Linked DNA regions of Saccharomyces cerevisiae S288C. The protein of the gene in region 2 interacts with the protein of the main gene of each other region in a pairwise test. Each region holds a gene or a part of one and is shown on either strand. Other genes may lie near its edges.

Region 1 (5,448 bases), on a different chromosome or scaffold from region 2:
TATTAAAGCAATTAAGCACCTAGGATGAAGCTCCTGCAAGTAGCTTGGTAGATGAGAAATGTTAAGCGGATAGTAACGCTGAAGCTATGCTATGCCATAATAATTTATAAAAAAATCAATAAAAAAGAGTGTATATTGATATTACTAATATGTAGAAGAAAGAATTAACTAGTATAATTCGGAGAGTAGTAAAGAAAATTTTATTTACATATGAATGTAGAAATTAATTCTACGATTCACGCGGAATATTGTGAAATCTTGAGATAAGAAAGTTGCAAGAGATCACAAATGAAGGTTATCTGCAAACAGCATAAACAGATGACACCTTATGAATGTAAGGTAACATCGGTAGCTTAGCGCGTTGACCTGTGAGCTCCTACATAGAATATTTGTGTGCTTGGGGATTATTTGAGAAGCATTAGGCTGGTTCAGAGGAATATTTACAATTGGTCATTGTATTTTGATATCAATTACCGAAGATTTTGGTGTTATTATGTTCAAAAACTTTTTTTTGTTTCCGTGAACACACAATTGCTGTCACCTGCTTTTGTGGTATAGCAGTGCAAAACTACTAAAAAGCAATAACATCCCATGACCTTTACCTTAAAAACTCGAAAAAAAAAAGTTTTTGCATTAACCTTTTGTTGCTCTGGTGTAATAATTTTTTTTGATGTATGACTTCTCGCTTTTGCGTGTAGCATTACTCTAACAGCAAAAATTTTAATACACGAAAACTTAATCTAGTGAATAAACCTATAATCAAGACGCTTCATTCCCTTATCTTTAGTTGTGTCCAAGTAATTGATCTGCTCTTCTTTTGTCATAGAGTTCCATTTGCGGTCCTTGTATTTATTCCTACTAATATAGTAAAACTTAGTAGCAACAGCCATACAAATGTTGAAGCAAGTGAATCCTAGAAGTATTTTGTTACCTCTAGTATAGTAAGGTTTATCATCATTTCTATACATGTTAGAAGCAATGATTGCTCCAACTTGGGCACTCATATTGTATAACGCTGTGCCCACTGTACGCGATCTTACCGAATTTGAAATCTCGGAGACCCAACCAGCAAGAATGGAATGTGTATAGGGAAGACCAAGTATACCGGTTAGTAATATATACTTGATCCAGGGGTTTGTGTCAGTCGGTAAAGCGACCAGAGAAACTATGAAAGGGAGCACCCAAACGTTGGCAATTCCCACACAAAGTGATTTTTCTTTCAATTTACGCGATAATAGTGCCGCTAATGGTAAATTTATTAGCAGCAGGGCTTGGCCTGGAATTGCTAAAATGTTCGAAAGAAATGTAGAGTAATTTAAACTCTTTAATATCAAAGATAAATAGGAACCAACTGTTTGAAGAGATATGAATGCTGTAATACCTTGGATAAACAATGGCCATAGATCAAATTCTGTTAGAGTGTACAAAATCTCCTTGAAGGTAACTGGTTGTCGGTTACTCATGTCACCCTTTGATGGGTCATCCCTTAAAATTCTGTTAACCATAATTTTCTCCTCATACTCAGTGAATAACGATTTTCCTTTGTGAAATGCAGACTCACCAGTTTGCGTAGGTCCTCTACGCATTAAATAAAAGGATGCCACGCCAACAGAAAGGGACAGAAACCCTTCAATTATAAATAGGTACTGCCAGCCAGCTAAGTTATGAATACCCCTCATCTCTATGATTCCGGAAGCTAAAAGAGAGCCTAAAATTTGGAAAAGAGGTATAGCACACCAAAAGAAACTTAGGCGGAATGTGAGCTCAGCTCCAGTATAATAATATGACAAGTATAGAATATTGTCCGGGATGAACCCGCCCTGTACCATTCCTAATAAGCATCTAGTAGCAATAAATTGACCTCGATTTTTCAGACCAGCTTGAGTAATACAAATTACACTCCACAACACAATTTGAACCGGAATGACCCTTTCTGGACCAAATCTTTTGGACAGCAGATTGCCGGGTAGTTCACTTGCTAGAAATATAACTAGATAAACAGTTTGGCCAAGGTTGTAGTCGTTCGTGTTCATTTTCAAGTCAACAATGAAGTTGTCTGAAACTGCCCTTGCAATATTTTTCCTTATTAAATCCAAAAAGGCAAACATAATAAAAACCCACAAAAAAATCTTCAAGTCCATTTTTCTTACCAATTTCTTTTCCTCATCCTTTGTCCATGTAAACTCAGGATCGAATTTAGACAAGCCTTCATAACCACTGGATTCATAGACTTTTCTCCAACGCTCTGCTTTATGAAAATCGTCAAATGGGTTATGTGAAATACTCTCCGAATCTGATGTTAAGCTTTCTGCGGACACAGATAATTGGGCCTTTTCTACAATATCGTATTCTTCTTTTTGTACGGACATAGATGAAACTTTGTTTGTTGATTGAATTTTTTATTAATTGTTTGTACAATAAATAATTTCAATAATCAACAATTGAACGCTGCCTTTTTATACTAAATGATTCAGTAGAAGACGAACCTAGCGCAGGGAATACGTCATGTATTTGATAGTAAGCGCCAAACCTATTAGGCAATAAAGTGTGACAAATTGGTAGCATTGATAGTTATTCCCAATTGACCCATAGGCTGTTGAAATGAAACCATCAGTATATGTTGAAACCTCAAGTGAGGCGTCAACCTCTAAGTGAGGCTTCAAGCTTCGCCAACTATTATATATGCCACATGACTGCAGGGTCCTTATTTTAAGGAGCTAGCTGCAACGACTTTGTGCTGTAAAGGGGTGCAGCAGCAAATGTAGCCTATTTGCTCGAGGTTTTTCTTTCTTACGAGAATGCTAGCAATTCAAGATAGTACGTTGTAATATGATGCATTTCGGCACAATTATCCGAGAAACGGACTATTTCGGGATTATATCGATCCGAAATTCTCTGCGTCGAGCCGAATGCCAAGGAAAAAAGTTCAGAGAATGACTACAAACAGCCTTGGCGACGGCAAAAGTAAGCTTGGTAAGAATGGCTTGATCCACACGGTGATTCTTGTATCGGGTCAATGCATAATTTTGATTGTGAAAGGCGCAATTATTAAGGCTGCATTCTTTAGCTTGTCTTGACTCCTACCCGTCATCGTACAATCTCCACATTAAAAAATATCACGACATTTATAAATCTTCTTCACACCGGATTAAACAAAAAAACTGTGTTAATCGGATCCGGGAGAAAATGCTAATATCTCCTTCTTGTTTGTGAAATGATGATAACTGGGCTGTTGAACGAAAATGAAACTTCTCAAATACACCTATTTATTAATAAATGTTAATTTATATTTTAAAAAAAGGTAAAAATTAAATGATCAGGTTTGCGATCCTGATTTCAAAATCATGGCTTGGATTATATCTTAGAGACGTATGGATTTCAAACAAATGCCTATTTGATTGAATATTACAGATCTACATTATCTCTTGTACATAAAACATTATATAACAGACATATTGATATTAACGAATATTTTCGAGCCACCATTCATGAAAGCCTAGTTAATGGATTTATGCGGTATTCATTTCGTAAACTTGACATCGTGTGACCTTTCATTGACAGTCAACTGGAAGACATCTCCCCTAGCATAATGTCCGACAGGGTCAAGATCAAAGCGAGCTTCAGCAATCAAGTCAGTGTTAATTTCGGCGGTTAAAAGGCCCTCCTGCCCTAGCAATGGCCCTGCAATAATCTCTCCATAAGGATCAATAATAACACTACCTCCATTAATACAGTTGTCGTCAGCAGATGGCCATCCAGGTAATTTTCTCTTACCTGTAGCTTGGTCAATAATCTCCCCAAAGCCCATTGCTGTCGCATCTGGCATGAACTGCACTGCACTAATCAAGAATAGACGACCTTCGTATGCAATATTTTTCATCACAGTCCTCTAAATAGGCCTAGCATCCACCGTTGGGGCACACCAGATCTCAACCCCTTTTTTATACATGGCGTATCTCAGTAGAGGCATCATGTTCTCCCAGCAGATAGCACCGCCAATCTTCCCAGCAGCGGTATCCACGACAGGCAGAGTCGAACCATCGCCTTGACCCCATATCAGTCTTTCGCCAGCTGTCGGCATCAGTTTTCGATGCTTCCCAACGTAGCCATCTTTAGGATCTATATAAACCATGGTACAATATAATGTCGTCCCATCGCGCTCTATACACCCCACACATAAGGATGCGTCGGTGGCCTTCGATAGTGCGCACAACTGACTAATTTCTGGATATTTCTCTCCGTTTCCGATCTCAATTGCTTCGGCAAGATACTTAGCATACTCCTCCCTTCCTTCTTGAAGACGGTAGCCTAGATAAACCCCAAAGTTCGATCCCTTTGGATAACCACCAAGAGTGGCTTCTGGGATAACGACCAACTTGGCACCAGATTCCTTGATCTCCTTCTCATATGACAAAATTTTTTTCAAGGTATCCTTAGTAGAGCCCGGACAAGAGCCGATTTGAAGGGCAGCAACAATGTGTTTCGCCATTGTGGTTAACTAGAGGTAGCCTCGAAAAGTGATTGGCTAACCCTAAGTCATAATATCACCCTTTCTTATTGAAGAGCTTTTATTATTTATATACACTGCCCTTTATGAGTCACGGAGGCCTGGGCTCCATTTTTTTTACGAAGCAAAAAAGATAGCTCATATTTCGTAAGCATTAGGCCAACTTTACTGATAACCGTTTTCAAATCGCGGTGGGATTAATATAATGTGGCGTTCATAGTGAAATGTGGCTCCAAAGTATAAGCGTAAATGCGTTTGCTTATCGAACCGCAAGTAACTTGTAATTTCACCTCTATAATTTCGAGCGGTTTTTAAGATACACCATGTTTCAAGTAACCACCTTTCGCCTTTTTCCTCTGTTATCGAACTTCCATCTGTAAAAAGTTCGCTTGCAGAAGAAAAAAGGCACTACACGGAAGAGGACTGATAATTAATGAAAATCAAGCTATGATCAAACAACTACTGGCTCTAATATATGGTTTCGGCTACATAATCTAATTGTCATATCTGTTATCTCGACACTCGTCTCTCGATAAACGAGTTCTTCACTGTTGCTAGGTGCAGTGGTCGGCCATAGTTATCCATACAAAATTCCAATTTCTTACGCGCATAGCAGTCGATACATGCAAACATCTCGACTATTCTGGCGATAGCAGTACCAACAATCACCAGCACAAATTTTGTCACCTGTGCTTTGCTAGAGTTACTTCAGTACTAATTAGATTATAATATTTTGCAGCATTTATTGGTATAGAAAGAAAAGCTCGAGCACTACCAACTTTTATCTGATATACCGAAAAATGCATAAATATCTTCTCTAGTTTGTGCGTTTTCTTGTCGCCCTACCTCACAAAAGAGAAGTACTGATGGCTAATAATTGTTGGATCGATTCATTGTATCTCTTAAATGTCAACAGAGCATAAGTCAGACTCTTTGCCATT
Region 2 (8,338 bases):
AAACAACCTGCTTAGAATGACTGTTAATTTACAGAATTTACGATAAAAATATAACTTGGCTCTAGGGCGTGATGATAGTGACAAAAAACTCGTCAAGTAAATGTTGGGAGCTTACTTGCCGTCGTTTTCTAACGCCAAAATACACGAATCATGTTTGGGAAATATAAGTGATTAGAACTTGTCCAAGGATATTGTCAAACAATAACATACTACAATAATCCTAGATCGTGTATTATTTGCGTATGGATAAATATACCTCAAGCTTTATGAGGCATAGAAAATTCATTAGAGTCACTACTTACGTCGCACTCTCGAGGATTGGAATGACGAAATCTTCTTCAGCATTTCACCATTCACCTTTTGAAGCTTCCTATCTCGTTGCTTAAGTAGAATGAAAGCATAGCAGCCCAAAAGAAAAGCCTCCCTCAGCAAGAATATTAACAAAGAACAATTCATGGACCGTTTCTACTACTTAATATCTCTATCACAACTGTCAGTCTCAATCAGTACTTAAATGACGCTGCAGAAAAAGATATCATTATTTTTATCATCCCCCTAATAAAATAAGTAATGAATCAATGCCATTAATTCGGGAACTAGTCATATACCTAAGGAATCAGGCTTTGATAGCTCTTTAATAATAATATTAGGGCATTTTTGATATGGTAAAAGATTAGATTAGGAAACCCCTTTTGTAGAGCATCTCACTACAATATCTGCAAAAACGGTCACCTTGCATAGGCAGAACACGCTACCTTTGAGTTAATTCACAGGGGAGAGCCCTTTTTTTTTCTTAGCAAAAGTGCTTAACAATCTTAATTTCTGGAATGTTTTCGGCGGATTGTTGTATATTGTTTGAATTTGTTCGTTCTAAAAAGTGAGACACCTGCACTTTCCACGCCAAGAACACTAATACCTTTAAACATGCCAGCGTACTTTAAAATGCCACGAGTCGCCCCGTACCAAACATGCTGGCGATTGTAATTTTTCGCCTTTTATTGGAATCGAGAATTCGGGCACTGTCCTTTTCTTCGTCATTTCAATGTTATAATCATTTTTATCGCCAAATTTTCTTCAATAAAAGGTCTCTTTTAAAATATGTTACTATGTTTTTTATTTTTCTATTATTTTTCTATGTGATTTTTCAGACGATTTATTCTTTGTTCGAAGGAGAACAGATGCAACGGTCAAGTTTTTACTATCCACATGAGGAGCCGTAATATTCTAAAGGCAAAAGCATGTGTGCTTGTAAAAAAAAATCAAAAAAAGTTACTGCTCCAAGCCAGCAAGCTTTCTCTTTTGCGAAATCTTTAACACGGTTAAAATCAAAGACAATTACTTCATTGACAAGGTCAATGCTAATATTTACGGTCTCCGCACGAAAGACTCTGAAAAATGTTAAAATTTATAGTGGCTAATGCTAATTCAAGAATAGTCTCGGGTTGTTTGATCACATTATTTTAATTTTTATTGAGCACTGAATAGGACCCGTATGTTCCAATCAGTCTATTTCTTGCAACTTAATCTGGTTTGTTTTTAGGGGAGTGGCATTTTTTTTAGGGTTATTCAAATATTCAATTCTGTAATTTGCTTACGACAAAAAGAAAAGGAGAGATGAAAAAAGGGCGACGGGTATAATCTATTCAGCCGCCAATGTCCCGACGTATGCCAAAATGTGGTGCCGCGGTAACAGTAGCATCACACAGAGCATGAGAAAAGCAAGAAAAGTGGAAGTCTGTATGTCACATTTTTATTGAAAATGCTATTTGCTATAAGGTTCGCTATTCAACTGATTGAACCGAGATAGACAAAATGTTAAACTTTTCATAGAGACGTTATTGTGATAGGGTTTACGCTGAGAATGGTTGAAACATACTTGCTAATAAACCACGTCACGTCAAAATATCAGTTTTTCTTTTTTAGTTATTCCCTTCTCACTTTTGACTTGAGATGAGATCGTTACACTTTTATTGAATACGAACGGATCACGATACATCCACATATACGAATGTTCGGCCAGACAGGGCATCAGAGTATATACCCTTTTTCCTAAAATGGAAGGGCCCTAGATCGTTGGCATCAGCGGTTACCTAACCGAAGTGGATCAAATCAGCGCCTATTTTTCCGTTTAGAACGATTAGATGCCGTCAATATGTATGTGCTTACTGTATCATCCACGTAGTAAAGCTGGGGCGTAGCATCCCTAGGTTACTTTCTCAATACTGGGGTCCCTGACCAAAGATAAAACATAACCTATTATGGCGTACGAGTCAAAGTTAAACGCTATTTGACTCGGGCAGCATGCATGACCCGGGGGAATGGAAAACTTCTCATGGCTACCCCAACGAAGCCAGACAAGATCTAGGAGATGTCTCCACCTTCCGAGCTACACTCTCACATCTCTTACATAGACACTGTGAAGTAAGTGATTGCACACAATCCAAAGAAGCACATCAAATAATATGTAAATATTACCCGTACAAATGGCAAATCATGTCCACTTTCCCGTTAGTCATCGGGTGGGCCGGTCCTCGCACTTTCCTTTTGTTTCGGATGTTAATTAATATATAAATGGATCTATAATTTTCAAAAGGTATAAACGCACAGTATGAAAAATATTGCAAGAATAATGTGTTTATAAATTATTTTTTTTGCTGGTAGCAAAATCAACTCATTGTCTTCCATTCAGAGTCTAATCGAACGTTATCGCAATGCTTGCACACTTTTAAACAATACGATTTAGTTTAAGTGGATGGACCCCCACGCTTAGTGTTCCACAGGTTTGTCCCCACTGTTTTTACATTCCACTGTACATTTTTGCAATAGAAGGTCATTGTATGCTACCTTGGGCGGCTAAGAATACCTGTAAAAATTTGGAGAAATTAGATTCGTAAAGAATGACTCGCAACGACTCCAATGATTTCTTCTTTTCACCCTTTGAACGGCCGATATCCGCGCGGGATCCTGACCCCGCAATTTACTCCACTAGACCGGCGTGTTTCTCTTTTTCCTTTTCCTGGGGTTAGAGCCCAAGAGCTAATAGCCGACAAACGGACTCCAAAAAAAAAAGGAGGCACAGGACAAACGCAGCACCTGCGTCATTCACGCTGAAGCGGCAGCAAGCATTTTCGATCAGCTCCAATTAAATGAAGACTATTCGCCGTACCGTTCCCAGATGGGTGCGAAAGTCAGTGATCGAGGAAGTTATTGAGCGCGCGGCTTGAAACTATTTCTCCATCTCAGAGCCGCCAAGCCTACCATTATTCTCCACCAGGAAGTTAGTTTGTAAGCTTCTGCACACCATCCGGACGTCCATAATTCTTCACTTAACGGTCTTTTGCCCCCCCTTCTACTATAATGCATTAGAACGTTACCTGGTCATTTGGATGGAGATCTAAGTAACACTTACTATCTCCTATGGTACTATCCTTTACCAAAAAAAAAAAAAAAAAAAAAAAAAAAAAAATCAGCAAAGTGAAGTACCCTCTTGATGTATAAATACATTGCACATCATTGTTGAGAAATAGTTTTGGAAGTTGTCTAGTCCTTCTCCCTTAGATCTAAAAGGAAGAAGAGTAACAGTTTCAAAAGTTTTTCCTCAAAGAGATTAAATACTGCTACTGAAAATATGTCGTCGTCAATTACAGATGAGAAAATATCTGGTGAACAGCAACAACCTGCTGGCAGAAAACTATACTATAACACAAGTACATTTGCAGAGCCTCCTCTAGTGGACGGAGAAGGTAACCCTATAAATTATGAGCCGGAAGTTTACAACCCGGATCACGAAAAGCTATACCATAACCCATCACTGCCTGCACAATCAATTCAGGATACAAGAGATGATGAATTGCTGGAAAGAGTTTATAGCCAGGATCAAGGTGTAGAGTATGAGGAAGATGAAGAGGATAAGCCAAACCTAAGCGCTGCGTCCATTAAAAGTTATGCTTTAACGAGATTTACGTCCTTACTGCACATCCACGAGTTTTCTTGGGAGAATGTCAATCCCATACCCGAACTGCGCAAAATGACATGGCAGAATTGGAACTATTTTTTTATGGGTTATTTTGCGTGGTTGTCTGCGGCTTGGGCCTTCTTTTGCGTTTCAGTATCAGTCGCTCCATTGGCTGAACTATATGACAGACCAACCAAGGACATCACCTGGGGGTTGGGATTGGTGTTATTTGTTCGTTCAGCAGGTGCTGTCATATTTGGTTTATGGACAGATAAGTCTTCCAGAAAGTGGCCGTACATTACATGTTTGTTCTTATTTGTCATTGCACAACTCTGTACTCCATGGTGTGACACATACGAGAAATTTCTGGGCGTAAGGTGGATAACCGGTATTGCTATGGGAGGAATTTACGGATGTGCTTCTGCAACAGCGATTGAAGATGCACCTGTGAAAGCACGTTCGTTCCTATCAGGTCTATTTTTTTCTGCTTACGCTATGGGGTTCATATTTGCTATCATTTTTTACAGAGCCTTTGGCTACTTTAGGGATGATGGCTGGAAAATATTGTTTTGGTTTAGTATTTTTCTACCAATTCTACTAATTTTCTGGAGATTGTTATGGCCTGAAACGAAATACTTCACCAAGGTTTTGAAAGCCCGTAAATTAATATTGAGTGACGCAGTGAAAGCTAATGGTGGCGAGCCTCTACCAAAAGCCAACTTTAAACAAAAGATGGTATCCATGAAGAGAACAGTTCAAAAGTACTGGTTGTTGTTCGCATATTTGGTTGTTTTATTGGTGGGTCCAAATTACTTGACTCATGCTTCTCAAGACTTGTTGCCAACCATGCTGCGTGCCCAATTAGGCCTATCCAAGGATGCTGTCACTGTCATTGTAGTGGTTACCAACATCGGTGCTATTTGTGGGGGTATGATATTTGGACAGTTCATGGAAGTTACTGGAAGAAGATTAGGCCTATTGATTGCATGCACAATGGGTGGTTGCTTCACCTACCCTGCATTTATGTTGAGAAGCGAAAAGGCTATATTAGGTGCCGGTTTCATGTTATATTTTTGTGTCTTTGGTGTCTGGGGTATCCTGCCCATTCACCTTGCAGAGTTGGCCCCTGCTGATGCAAGGGCTTTGGTTGCCGGTTTATCTTACCAGCTAGGTAATCTAGCTTCTGCAGCGGCTTCCACGATTGAGACACAGTTAGCTGATAGATACCCATTAGAAAGAGATGCCTCTGGTGCTGTGATTAAAGAAGATTATGCCAAAGTTATGGCTATCTTGACTGGTTCTGTTTTCATCTTCACATTTGCTTGTGTTTTTGTTGGCCATGAGAAATTCCATCGTGATTTGTCCTCTCCTGTTATGAAGAAATATATAAACCAAGTGGAAGAATACGAAGCCGATGGTCTTTCGATTAGTGACATTGTTGAACAAAAGACGGAATGTGCTTCAGTGAAGATGATTGATTCGAACGTCTCAAAGACATATGAGGAGCATATTGAGACCGTTTAATCACTTTTCATTGCTCTCTAGGGCGTGTTCGCTTCTCTATGTAACTGCATTTCACATATATTCATATTATAGCCTTTATAACATTACATAAAAGACATGATATACGACATACTTTAAAGTTAGAATTTTTGTTGTATTAATTTTCTCGAAGGGATTAGAATGTAAGTACATTTAAATAGCGCCGCAAGAAACATAACAGCCGTTAACACTAGCAAGATGGTAGATTACTGTGTCTAAGAATTTAAATTGTTTTGCTTGCTTTTGCCACTATAAGACAATAATAGTAATAGAAAAGAAATGTTAGTCGAACAGCAAATTGGTAAAAGTGGAAAAAATTATTTCGTTATTCATTTTAGGCCGTTCAGAAATATAGCATTTTGGTTCTTGCACTGAATGGGCCCTGAGGACAGTGTGCGGCTGGATAGCCATATACTTCGACATTACTTTTCACCTTTGAAGGGGGATGTATGCTTATACACAATCAAAGCTCGGCCTGTGCAGGTTTCACTACATAAGCTTTTTTACCATAGAAATCTTGCAGAAGGAAGTAAGTATCAAGATATTACGTATCGCATCCATAGAACGATAGCAGAAAAATGCAGTATATGATAACGATATGCTTCACAGCTGCGGCCCATTTGGGGAAAAAAGGAAAAGGAGCATCCTCGATCTTACAGATGTCGCTTTTTCCTCTTGAGGTCATTCCCTAACCTTGGATCCAAGTCAATCTGGTATCTTCCCACCCTAAATAGTGTATTCCCCATGTAATAAGATCGGACGATAAACTTCGAAACAATTCTAGCCTTTTTTATTAGATATTTACTCTACTTTAGATTTGGTGATTTTACTAAATGTTATCCTTCAGCCACTACAGCCTACTTTTTCTCACTAATATGTTCTTGAAGCCATTTTCTTCACCGGGCTTTGCCGAAGGTTATTTCACGATCTTCGGCATTCGCCGAAAATTTTTCAAGATGCCCATCACCAAAAAATAAAAAAAGCTTTATATATGGCATGGCATACGCATCGGGAACCGGTATTCTTCTCTTGGATTACACAGTTTGGACTACTAGACGTTTCAAATAGATATACACAATTACTCAAAAAAAAATTGAACTTCCGTACCAAACATGACAGCCAGTTTAACTACCAAGTTCTTGAACAATACCTATGAAAACCCATTTATGAATGCATCCGGTGTTCATTGCATGACTACACAAGAATTAGATGAATTAGCAAACTCTAAAGCTGGCGCATTCATTACAAAGAGTGCTACAACCTTAGAAAGAGAAGGTAACCCTGAACCACGTTACATTTCTGTCCCTCTAGGCAGTATCAACTCCATGGGTTTACCAAACGAAGGTATCGACTACTATTTGTCCTATGTATTAAACCGTCAAAAGAATTATCCTGATGCACCTGCTATTTTCTTCTCAGTTGCTGGTATGAGCATTGATGAAAATTTAAATTTGTTGAGGAAAATCCAAGATAGCGAATTCAACGGTATTACCGAGTTAAACTTGTCTTGTCCTAATGTGCCTGGGAAACCACAAGTTGCTTATGACTTTGACTTGACAAAGGAAACCTTGGAAAAGGTTTTTGCCTTTTTCAAAAAACCTCTTGGTGTCAAGTTGCCTCCTTATTTTGATTTTGCCCATTTTGATATCATGGCAAAAATATTGAACGAGTTCCCATTAGCTTATGTCAACTCTATCAATAGTATAGGAAATGGTCTTTTCATTGATGTGGAGAAGGAGAGTGTAGTAGTGAAGCCAAAGAATGGTTTCGGGGGTATTGGAGGTGAATATGTTAAGCCAACCGCGCTCGCCAATGTTCGTGCATTTTACACTCGTTTGAGACCTGAAATCAAAGTTATCGGTACAGGTGGAATTAAGTCCGGTAAGGATGCATTTGAACATCTTCTATGTGGTGCCTCTATGCTACAGATTGGTACAGAATTACAAAAAGAGGGCGTCAAGATTTTTGAACGTATCGAAAAAGAATTAAAAGACATAATGGAAGCTAAGGGTTATACATCCATAGATCAGTTCCGTGGGAAGTTGAACAGCATTTAATTATCGGAATTTGAAGAACTATGATGGGACAAGTTATGGAAGAGTGTTAAGATTCGTATGAATATTTTATTATTTTGAAATTGCATAAATCAAGGATAGTTGGTAAATGCTAATTCCTTAATTTTTCGGTGAGTGCATTCGCAATTGGCATCATACATTAGGGTTCAATGTGCTTTAATAGATGATGATACTAAATACTTATACTTTGAAATAACTTAATCAATGTAAATTATTGTCTTGATTCATTTATACTTAAATTTTTATATCTCAACATATGATATATCCTTACATTAAGACTTATTCAAGAAACATTTTTCAACGATAATTATTAGTAGGCTAAAAATGGCATAGGAACCAGAAAATAATGTTGAAGAAATGAAGCCATCTGTTTAATATTTGGGGAAAAAAGTGAAGAAATTAACGAATATGTGCATATATATATATATATATATATATATATATATTGCACAGGTGATTTTGATGTAGAATGTAGCCTTTTCGAAAGAGTAATTTGGTTTTATCTACAGAGTTCCGAAACATTGTTAAGTGCCTGTTCTTATATAATTAAACTGTACTTTCTGTAAAAGTCAATTTGTGGCTGGCGCATCCACGGTATACCAATGGTTCCGTGTAATTCGATATTGACTAAGAACCAAAAAGAAATGCTTTAATCCTTGTATTGTCCAAATCCCCCACCACCAGGGGTTTTAATGATGAATCGATCACCGGGTTGAGCGTAAATCGTATTTTTACCGCCGACATTGATTAATGCGCCTGTGCTATG

What was found. Proteins that work in one complex are often made in the same cells at the same time.
Region 1: the proteins of JEN1 (region 2) and SOA1 interact in a protein complementation assay, tested with the Saccharomyces cerevisiae proteins (one large-scale study listed by BioGRID).

The regions. Positions count from the first base shown.
Region 1 is NC_001141.2:30,198-35,645, forward strand, and holds SOA1 (Soa1p), read right to left. Parts: upstream 2,370-5,448; coding exon 741-2,369; downstream 1-740. Other genes in the region: YIL165C (uncharacterized protein), read right to left, coding at 3,521-3,880; NIT1 (Nit1p), read right to left, coding at 3,890-4,489.
Region 2 is NC_001143.9:18,606-26,943, forward strand, and holds JEN1 (monocarboxylate/H+ symporter), read left to right. Parts: upstream 1-3,628; coding exon 3,629-5,479; downstream 5,480-8,338. Other genes in the region: URA1 (dihydroorotate dehydrogenase), read left to right, coding at 6,610-7,554; OXP1 (5-oxoprolinase), read right to left, coding at 8,222-8,338. UniProt on the Saccharomyces cerevisiae protein: Essential to lactate transport.